Linked DNA regions of Rattus norvegicus. The protein of the gene in region 2 purifies or fractionates together with the protein of the main gene of each other region. This does not show direct contact. Links are inferred from orthologs where the notes say so. Each region holds a gene or a part of one and is shown on either strand. Other genes may lie near its edges.

Region 1 (3,394 bases), on a different chromosome or scaffold from region 2:
TCAAGACTCCAGTATAAGGTCTATGATTTTTAGGGTATTTCATTACCAGCATCCTTTCATTTTTCTTGCTTTGTGCTGATACAGTCATTCCTTACTTCTTATGGCTGGTGGGAGGATAAAATAAAGAAGAAAATGCACAACGAGGGTTTAGTAGCAATATTTCATTCTGTTAAAGTGCCCACCAAAGACTATTTAAAACAAAAAAACAAAACAAAACAAAACAGAAAAGGGACAGTCCCTACATAATTCCTGTTATTATTCCCACGTTATGTGAACATGCCTTTTTTTGTTATCACGCCTTTAATGTGACCAATTTCTTGAAGCACCACAATTTTCAAAAAACTTCTGAGTGGTTATGAGTGGTGTTTTCCCACTCTGTTAGAAGTATACTTGCTCATGTTGTACACGGGGAGAATCTTTCTCATCCCTACCCACTCCCATTCCCCCTTTCACCAAAATAAATGCCTCCCCCCCAAACAAAGAAATTATTTCACGGTATATTTAATGCTCATTTTAAAGTTTATTTATGGTGGGGTTGGATACATGTTTTGCAAAGTGTGCTAAGTGCTTAAACTGAAAACAGTCCAGTTCAAATCAGTCCATTCCACATGGATGTTTCCTGTGCCAGTTGGAGTCATATGGAGAGGGACCCTGACCTTTCTCTTGGTCAGGTCTGTGTTGTTGTTAAGTCCTGCTAACTCTCCAGGGCCTTCTTTGTCGATACGGACCATCAGTCCCATTCAAAGAACAAGATACAGAACACCTCAATGTATTTCACAAGTTTAGCACAGCACATCTCTTGTACAAAAATCCAAGAAAGCACAGAAGTGAAAGTACCAACTTGCTCACTTATAAAACACACATGCATCAATTTTAAACACTACACGAGTACACAACTGAATACATTGCATTACAAGATAAAAAAAGCACTGGATGGAAAACTTAAAAACTATACATGAAATACTGCACTATGAATCTGGGATACTCTAATGTCCAACCCCACCCTTACACAGCCCTAGTATGGGTCAGAAACTATCAATGTGCTCCTGGACATTTTAGTCCTCAGAGACACTGCTGCGGGGGGCCTGGGCGACAAGATTAGCCTCCCGCAGAGCTCTGGCCTGCTCCAGAGCCTCTCTGTAGCGGGAAGGCCAAGCCTGGGGATCCTTCTTAAAGACTCTGGCCAGGAACTCCATGATCTGCATCTTGGTGATTTCACGGTTAGCTCTGGGGCCCCAGAAGAACTCGTACTCGGGAGGCTCGATGTGGGGCACACGCTGGTACTTCAGGTAATTCTGCTGGACGAACTCCTCGGTGATAATCTTTCTCACATCTCCGAAGGTGGAGTGCTTCTTCCAGGGCCTCAGCCCCAGGATGCGCAGCACATTCCAGACCGCACCCTCTCTGGCCCCGCGGCCCTTCACATAGATGAGACTCAGGATCATGAGCAGGAGACCTGTCATGGGCATACGGTTGTTCAGCGCGACTCTGTCCAGCTCTTCTGGGCTGAGTGCTTTGACCAGGGCGAACTCCATGGTGTGGAGATTGGTCAGCCTCAGGTGCAGCCCGAAAACTCTGGCGAGGATGACGCTGGTGCGCCTGAGGATGCTTCTGCACCACTTCTTGTAGCTGCCCATGACCTCTTTCACCATGTCTGGAAACCAGAGGACCATCCTCTTCTGGTCCTTGACCAACACGTACCACATGAGCTCGTGCGCCTTCTGCACCAGCTGGGCAGGGGCCGGCGGTGCTGGGATCGGCCGGGCTGGGCTCTGGGGCTGGTGGGCGCGGCCCTCTTCTGCGGCCTGCTGCAGGATCTTAGGGTCAACCTCTTCAAACCGTTCTGCAGGTGGTGGCGAGGCCTGTGGGGCTGCCATAGGGCCTTCCGGAGCGCACGATGGCCCTGAGAGGTTCGCGGCCAGAGGAGCGGGAGGAGGGACCCCCACCGGAACAGCATCGCTGACCTGCATCTCAGTGTCGGGGTCCTCAGCGGCAAAGTTAGGGTCGCTCAGGTCCTTACTTTGTTCCGACATTCTGCGTCTTTTGATCAGAGCAGGACCGCTGCGACTCGGAGCTCTCGGAGCCTGCACTGCCTCAGTGGATACTAGCAGAGGAAGTGCGCTTTACTGAGCACTGCGCCTTCCGCAGCAGCGGGCCGGGCGGGGCAGACGCTATATTGCGCATGCGTAGTGGGAAGCCAGAAGGGTGGTAGGGCTGGATAGGAGCGAAGTAGCAAAGCCCAACCACTGGGGTCTAAGGGAGGGTACCACTAGTATTATGAAAAGGATCTCCTGGTCTCCTGTATGGGACAGAGATGGGTGATAGTGGGGAAAGAAACAAGTTGAAGGAGAAAGATATAGCTGAGATGGTGAAGTTAAGTTCCGACACACTGAGTTAAGTGTGAAGGTCCTGGAGGAAGAAGACTAATTCTTGAATTTGAGTTTTCCACAAAAGAATAGGAGAGACAAAAATAACCTTTTCTTGGAAAGTCATACCTGATGATGATGATGATGATGATGATGATGTGTTGTCTAATATCAGAATGTTGAGAAATTATTAATAGAGATAAATCGTTACAAATCTGAGCAGTATCAAACAAGGAAGAATGCAAAGTATAGTTACAGACACTGGAAATCAATCCATGTGAGAATTTAATGTTTTAGAAGTAGATTCATATAACATAATTGATGTGCGTCTAAAATTTTAATTAAAATGGGACTTGGTTCAGTGGGCAAGAGCTGTTGCAGTTCAAGCATGAACCTGAGTTTAAACCCCAGGTCCCACATGAACAAAACAGATATATAAAATTATTTATATGTATTCATTCATCGTTGGATTCTTAGTTTGTTGGCTTACAATTATTTTAATAACTATGGATTTGGGCTCTGCATTTCTATTAGGTCACTTTGATTTCATTTAGAAATTCCCTTAAGAATCTAGTGGGAAATGATCAACATGTTTATTAATACACATTTTATGATAGTGTATTTTTCATGCACTCCCAGTGCCCTTTCCCCCTGCTTACTGCTGTTACATCTTCATGTTTATAAGAAATCTTCCACGTCTTGCATTACGTCATTAGCAAATGACTAATTCCATGTTGGGCGCACGTCCAAATCTTTCCCAATATCTTTCAAATGCAATTCTTTTGGATAATATCTAACATTCTTTCATAAATGAGAGGCAGCATATTGGTGTTCATAAATAAAAAATGTAGATTGAGAGGAGGTAACCTGAACCTGATATTTCCTCGAACTTTCCTTTATGCAATGACCATGGTTGAAGCTTCCAAAGCCAGAAGTCCTTAAATTTGATCATCTTTCTTATTCTGAAATAATGGAATTCCTTAGCCCTTCTTTGAGTTCCTCAAGTTTAAAACATCTTAAAATTATGC
Region 2 (3,999 bases):
ACGGGGCAGCGTCTAATTTACCCAGCCAGTGGCAGTCCAGGACCACACCCCCTCTCGTGGGGAAGCTGAAAAGGAACTGCGCAGAAGGAAGACTAACGCAACGACCACCTCTGCTTTCTAAGTTGGGGAGCCTAGTACCCTGCCTAAATTTCCTGGGGGTCAGCCTCCTCGCCTGTAAAATGGGAATCACTAAATTTACCTTGCAGGCACCTAAGGAATACATAACATAAAAGTACCCAAGACAGTGCAGGTCATAGTAAGCACCTCACCGATTTTATTGTGACTGCCCTTCCAACTCATACCCCTAGGGAGGAGCGAGGTGCTACAGTCAGAAGGGCTGGCCAGGTAGGGTGGAGCCATCTAACCACCCACCCTCCACAGCAGCCTCGACGCTCACGCTGCCCATTTGCTGCCTACGCTGCTGCACCCCTATTAGGAGCATTAGCCAGCCGGGCGGCTCCGGTTACAGACGTCTGAATGACAAAGTGCCTCCATTACCGGCGCGGCCCGCCAGCAGACTCGCCGGGTTGCGCTCTGGTTTCAGCACTCTCTCGGCGGCGCAGGAAGAGGCTCGGACGGCGGAGGAACGCAGAACCCGCTCTAGCCGAACAGCCTGGAGAAAGCAGAGCCATAGGGGCTCAAGTCCGAAGGTTCTGTCAAGGTTCAGAGGCCACGCCCTCACCCCTCCAGGATCAGAATCACACAGCGCCCCAGGCCCTCTTCCCCAGCCAACCTTAAGGAGGACCAAGGAGCACCTCTAACCAGAGGCATTAGTTAGCAAACACCTTTGCTGTCACTCCCAGGTCCCCGGAGGACTCCGCAAGTACTGATAGCTCCAGGGAACCGTGTGTGAGGTTGAGGATGAGAGCTTGAGAGGGTTCACCATTCGATCGCCTTCATATCCCACCTCCTGCCTATCCTTTGGGATGGTGTCACCATCCCTGCTGTGAAACGAAGCGGACTAGCTGCCGCCCCTGCCCACCTACGCCCCCCCCCCCAGATGCTCTCTTGAATAGAGGGAGTACAGAGCTGGAATGGGGTGGCCACCCAGCCACAGGGCTCTGGCTTGTGAGATCTTAACCAACTTGTTTAAACTCCGAAGTCCCTGCCTCCTTATCAGTAGGATGGAGATTGGGGGGGGGGGGGGGCGGCAGTGCTCGCAGGAAGGAAACGGTGGAGGGAAGAGTAAGGACGCCACTTTCATTGCTAACCTTCCTTAAGATCTGGTCAGAAATACCTAGAGAACTCGGGTTCATAGAAGGAGGACCCGATGACCTTAGCTGGAACAGCAATCCGACAGAATGCCAGGTATCCAAGCGGCCCCTGTCTCATTTGAGAAGGGTTCATTGACTTTTACCGAAAGCCTGGCCAGGTGTGGGCGGGATGATGATCCTGTTAAGTTCCTTACCGGAAGGAGCGCGGAGGGCGCAGGGCGGGTGGCCGCTTAACTTAGAAGGGGTGCAGTGCGCAGCCCTAGGCGCACACGCAGCTCCCATAGCAATCCCTCACCCGCAGTGCCCCCTGCGGGTCGCCTGGGGTTTTTGCATCCCCGAGCTATGCGCTGCCGGAACCATCACCGCCTTGAGAGTCCTAGCGCTCGCATCCCAAGAGCCCGCTGGCATCTGATAGGGTAAGGGGATGTCCTGGCTCTGTCTCTCCAAGTCCACTGCGTTGCTTCAAAGCGTATGAAAGGTTTGCCAAGGAACCATCCTGGAAGCGGATTTGTCACAGTGAAGTGGGCGCTCCCCTCCCAGCCTGGGATGCCCAGACGCAATTCCCGGACTGGGCGAGGCCGCTAGAAAGAGTGCTAGAACCCACGCGGGAAACCTCTGTGACTCGGCTGTCCTCATCGCACCGACCTTGAGTAGACAGGCGGGGCCCTGAGCACTTCAGGGTCTGCACCGGCTTTCCACCTCTCTATCTCTTTAGTGGCTGTCTCTTTTCTGCCCTCCATAAATTCTACTTCTCTCTCTTCAACCTCTCTGCCACTCCCGAATCGTTCCTTTCGACGCCCCTCCCCCCCATTGTCTGGCCGGTCCCCATTGTCCATACCGGGTCCCCTCCGCCTCCAGTCCCTCTAGCCGCCTCCCCCATTGTTCCGTCTCTAGCCCCTCACATCTCTAGCGCTGATCTCTTCCCCTTCCTTCTCTCGCGCCGGATTCTGTCCTACAACTCCCCAGGGACTAAGATGCTAAAGAGAAAACTCCCCGCGGGATCCCAGAATTCACATGCTGTCGTCAGAAGAACCCAGGCGCCTGAGATTTCCAAACCTCCCTCCAACCCCCGCCCCTGAGAAACTGCTCCCAGTCCCCTACACCGCACCCACCGTAGTGCCCAAGGACCACCACCAGCGGTACCAGCAGCACCAAGAACCAGCATCGTTACAACACTCCTGCCTGCATCTCTATCCTGGGACTGGGTCGCCTCTGCGCTCGCTCTGAAAGTCCTAGAAGCTAGGAGCGCCCCTGTGAGTCACCGCCCCGCAGCTCCTCCGCCACCCGTTCCCAACATCTGGGACCTTGACGTCCTATTCTGTTCTCTGGGTGGTGGCACCCAGGTCTCCTTGGGGTTCAGCTCTTTGAAAAGGTCAACAGGAGTCCCTCCTGCTAACCACTTACCCCTAGAATCAGCAGCAGCAGCAGGCGCAGCCGGTCCATGGCGCTGCAGGCAGCACCTGCCCTCCTCATTGCACGCCTCCGGCGTCAGCGCTCCGCTTCTAGCTCAGTCCGCTCCGCAGACCGATGGTGCTGCGCTGAGCTGAACTGCGCTGCGCTCCAGCGCCTGCTGCCCGCCGGAGCTGGCGGAGGCTCCACTCGCTCTGGCTGCGGGCGGGCGGGAGCAGCTGGGTGAAGGCAATGCAGCAGCCCCGCCTCCTCCCCGCCCAGCCCGCCCAACTACCCCCCCCCCCAACCGTCCGGAACCGCGCCCGCCCGGCTGCCTGGGGTGTGGAGTCCGGAGCAGCCAAGTGAGGCGTGCGAGGAGCCGCACCCGTGTGCCCCGCTGCGGCTTCTCTGTGGGCTGTCCCACATACCCAGTGCACCGCTGGTTATGCCGAGCATCAGTCCCGGATGCTGCGGATCCAGCAGGGGGCCACTGCTCTCCTACTGATGAGGCCTGCCTCGGGGTTCACTCTCTTAAACGCCTTCTTCAGCCTCTCGGTTGATTCCTAGTTCCCTACCTAGCCCTTATTCCGAAAATGAGGCTGCCTTCCTTTTACGGTTGGGTATACACTTTATTCCATCTTCTCTCGGCTGCTCCTTCCCACTTGTGGAGGGATATGTTCCTTGGGGCATTCAAAGTGAAATCTATCCCAATATCACTATTTGAGATCCCTGTCTCTGTCTTTCTGTCCCTGACTCTCTGTCTCTCTCTGTCTCTCCCTGTCTCTGTCTCTTGGTCTCTCTCTCTGTCTCTGCCTCTGTCTCTCTGTCTCTGTCTCTTGGTCTCTCTCTCTCTGTCTCTCTCTCTGTCTCTGTCTCTTGGTCTCTCTCTCTGTCTCTGTCTCTCTGTCTCTGTCTCTCTGTCTCTACCTCTGTCTCTGTCTCTCTCTCTCTACACACACACACACACACACACACACACACACACACACACACAGAGGATAGAACCTAGGACCTTACAAATGCCAAGCAAGCATCGTATCATGGGGCTACATCTCCAGCCTTTCCTGAGCTTGAAGGACTCCCAGGTGTGCACATACAACCCAGGAATACACAAACACACTCTCAAGCACGCCTGTGCTCATGTACTGACATCTGCTCGTACCATCCTCAGGCGCTCATATAAACCCACTTATCCTACAAGGGTTCCTAAGACATACATCAACGCACACATGATGACATTCACATACACACCCCTACACATTCACATGTGCACGGTGCACAGTGATGTTCACGCAAGCCCATACCTGTATTTAGCCCTCGAATGTACACACTCATGAGTATACAAGCCACACACAAACATGATCACACGAGCTTCGGAGCTTCCCACAGGCAGAGA

What was found. Proteins that work in one complex are often made in the same cells at the same time.
Region 1: the proteins of Ngfr (region 2) and Ndn purify together in Homo sapiens (affinity purification with western blotting; 3 studies listed by BioGRID). This does not show direct contact. The link is inferred for Rattus norvegicus from reciprocal best matches to the Homo sapiens genes NGFR and NDN.

What each region holds. Positions count from the first base shown.
Region 1 is NC_086019.1:125,259,765-125,263,158, reverse strand, and holds Ndn (necdin), read right to left. Parts: upstream 2,101-3,394; 5' UTR 2,034-2,100; coding exon 1,056-2,033; 3' UTR 501-1,055; downstream 1-500. UniProt on the Homo sapiens protein: Growth suppressor that facilitates the entry of the cell into cell cycle arrest.
Region 2 is NC_086028.1:81,027,506-81,031,504, forward strand, and holds the start of Ngfr (tumor necrosis factor receptor superfamily member 16 precursor), read right to left. Parts: upstream 2,801-3,999; 5' UTR 2,688-2,800; coding exon 2,619-2,687; intron 1-2,618. UniProt on the Homo sapiens protein: Low affinity receptor which can bind to NGF, BDNF, NTF3, and NTF4. Forms a heterodimeric receptor with SORCS2 that binds the precursor forms of NGF, BDNF and NTF3 with high affinity, and has much lower affinity for mature NGF and BDNF.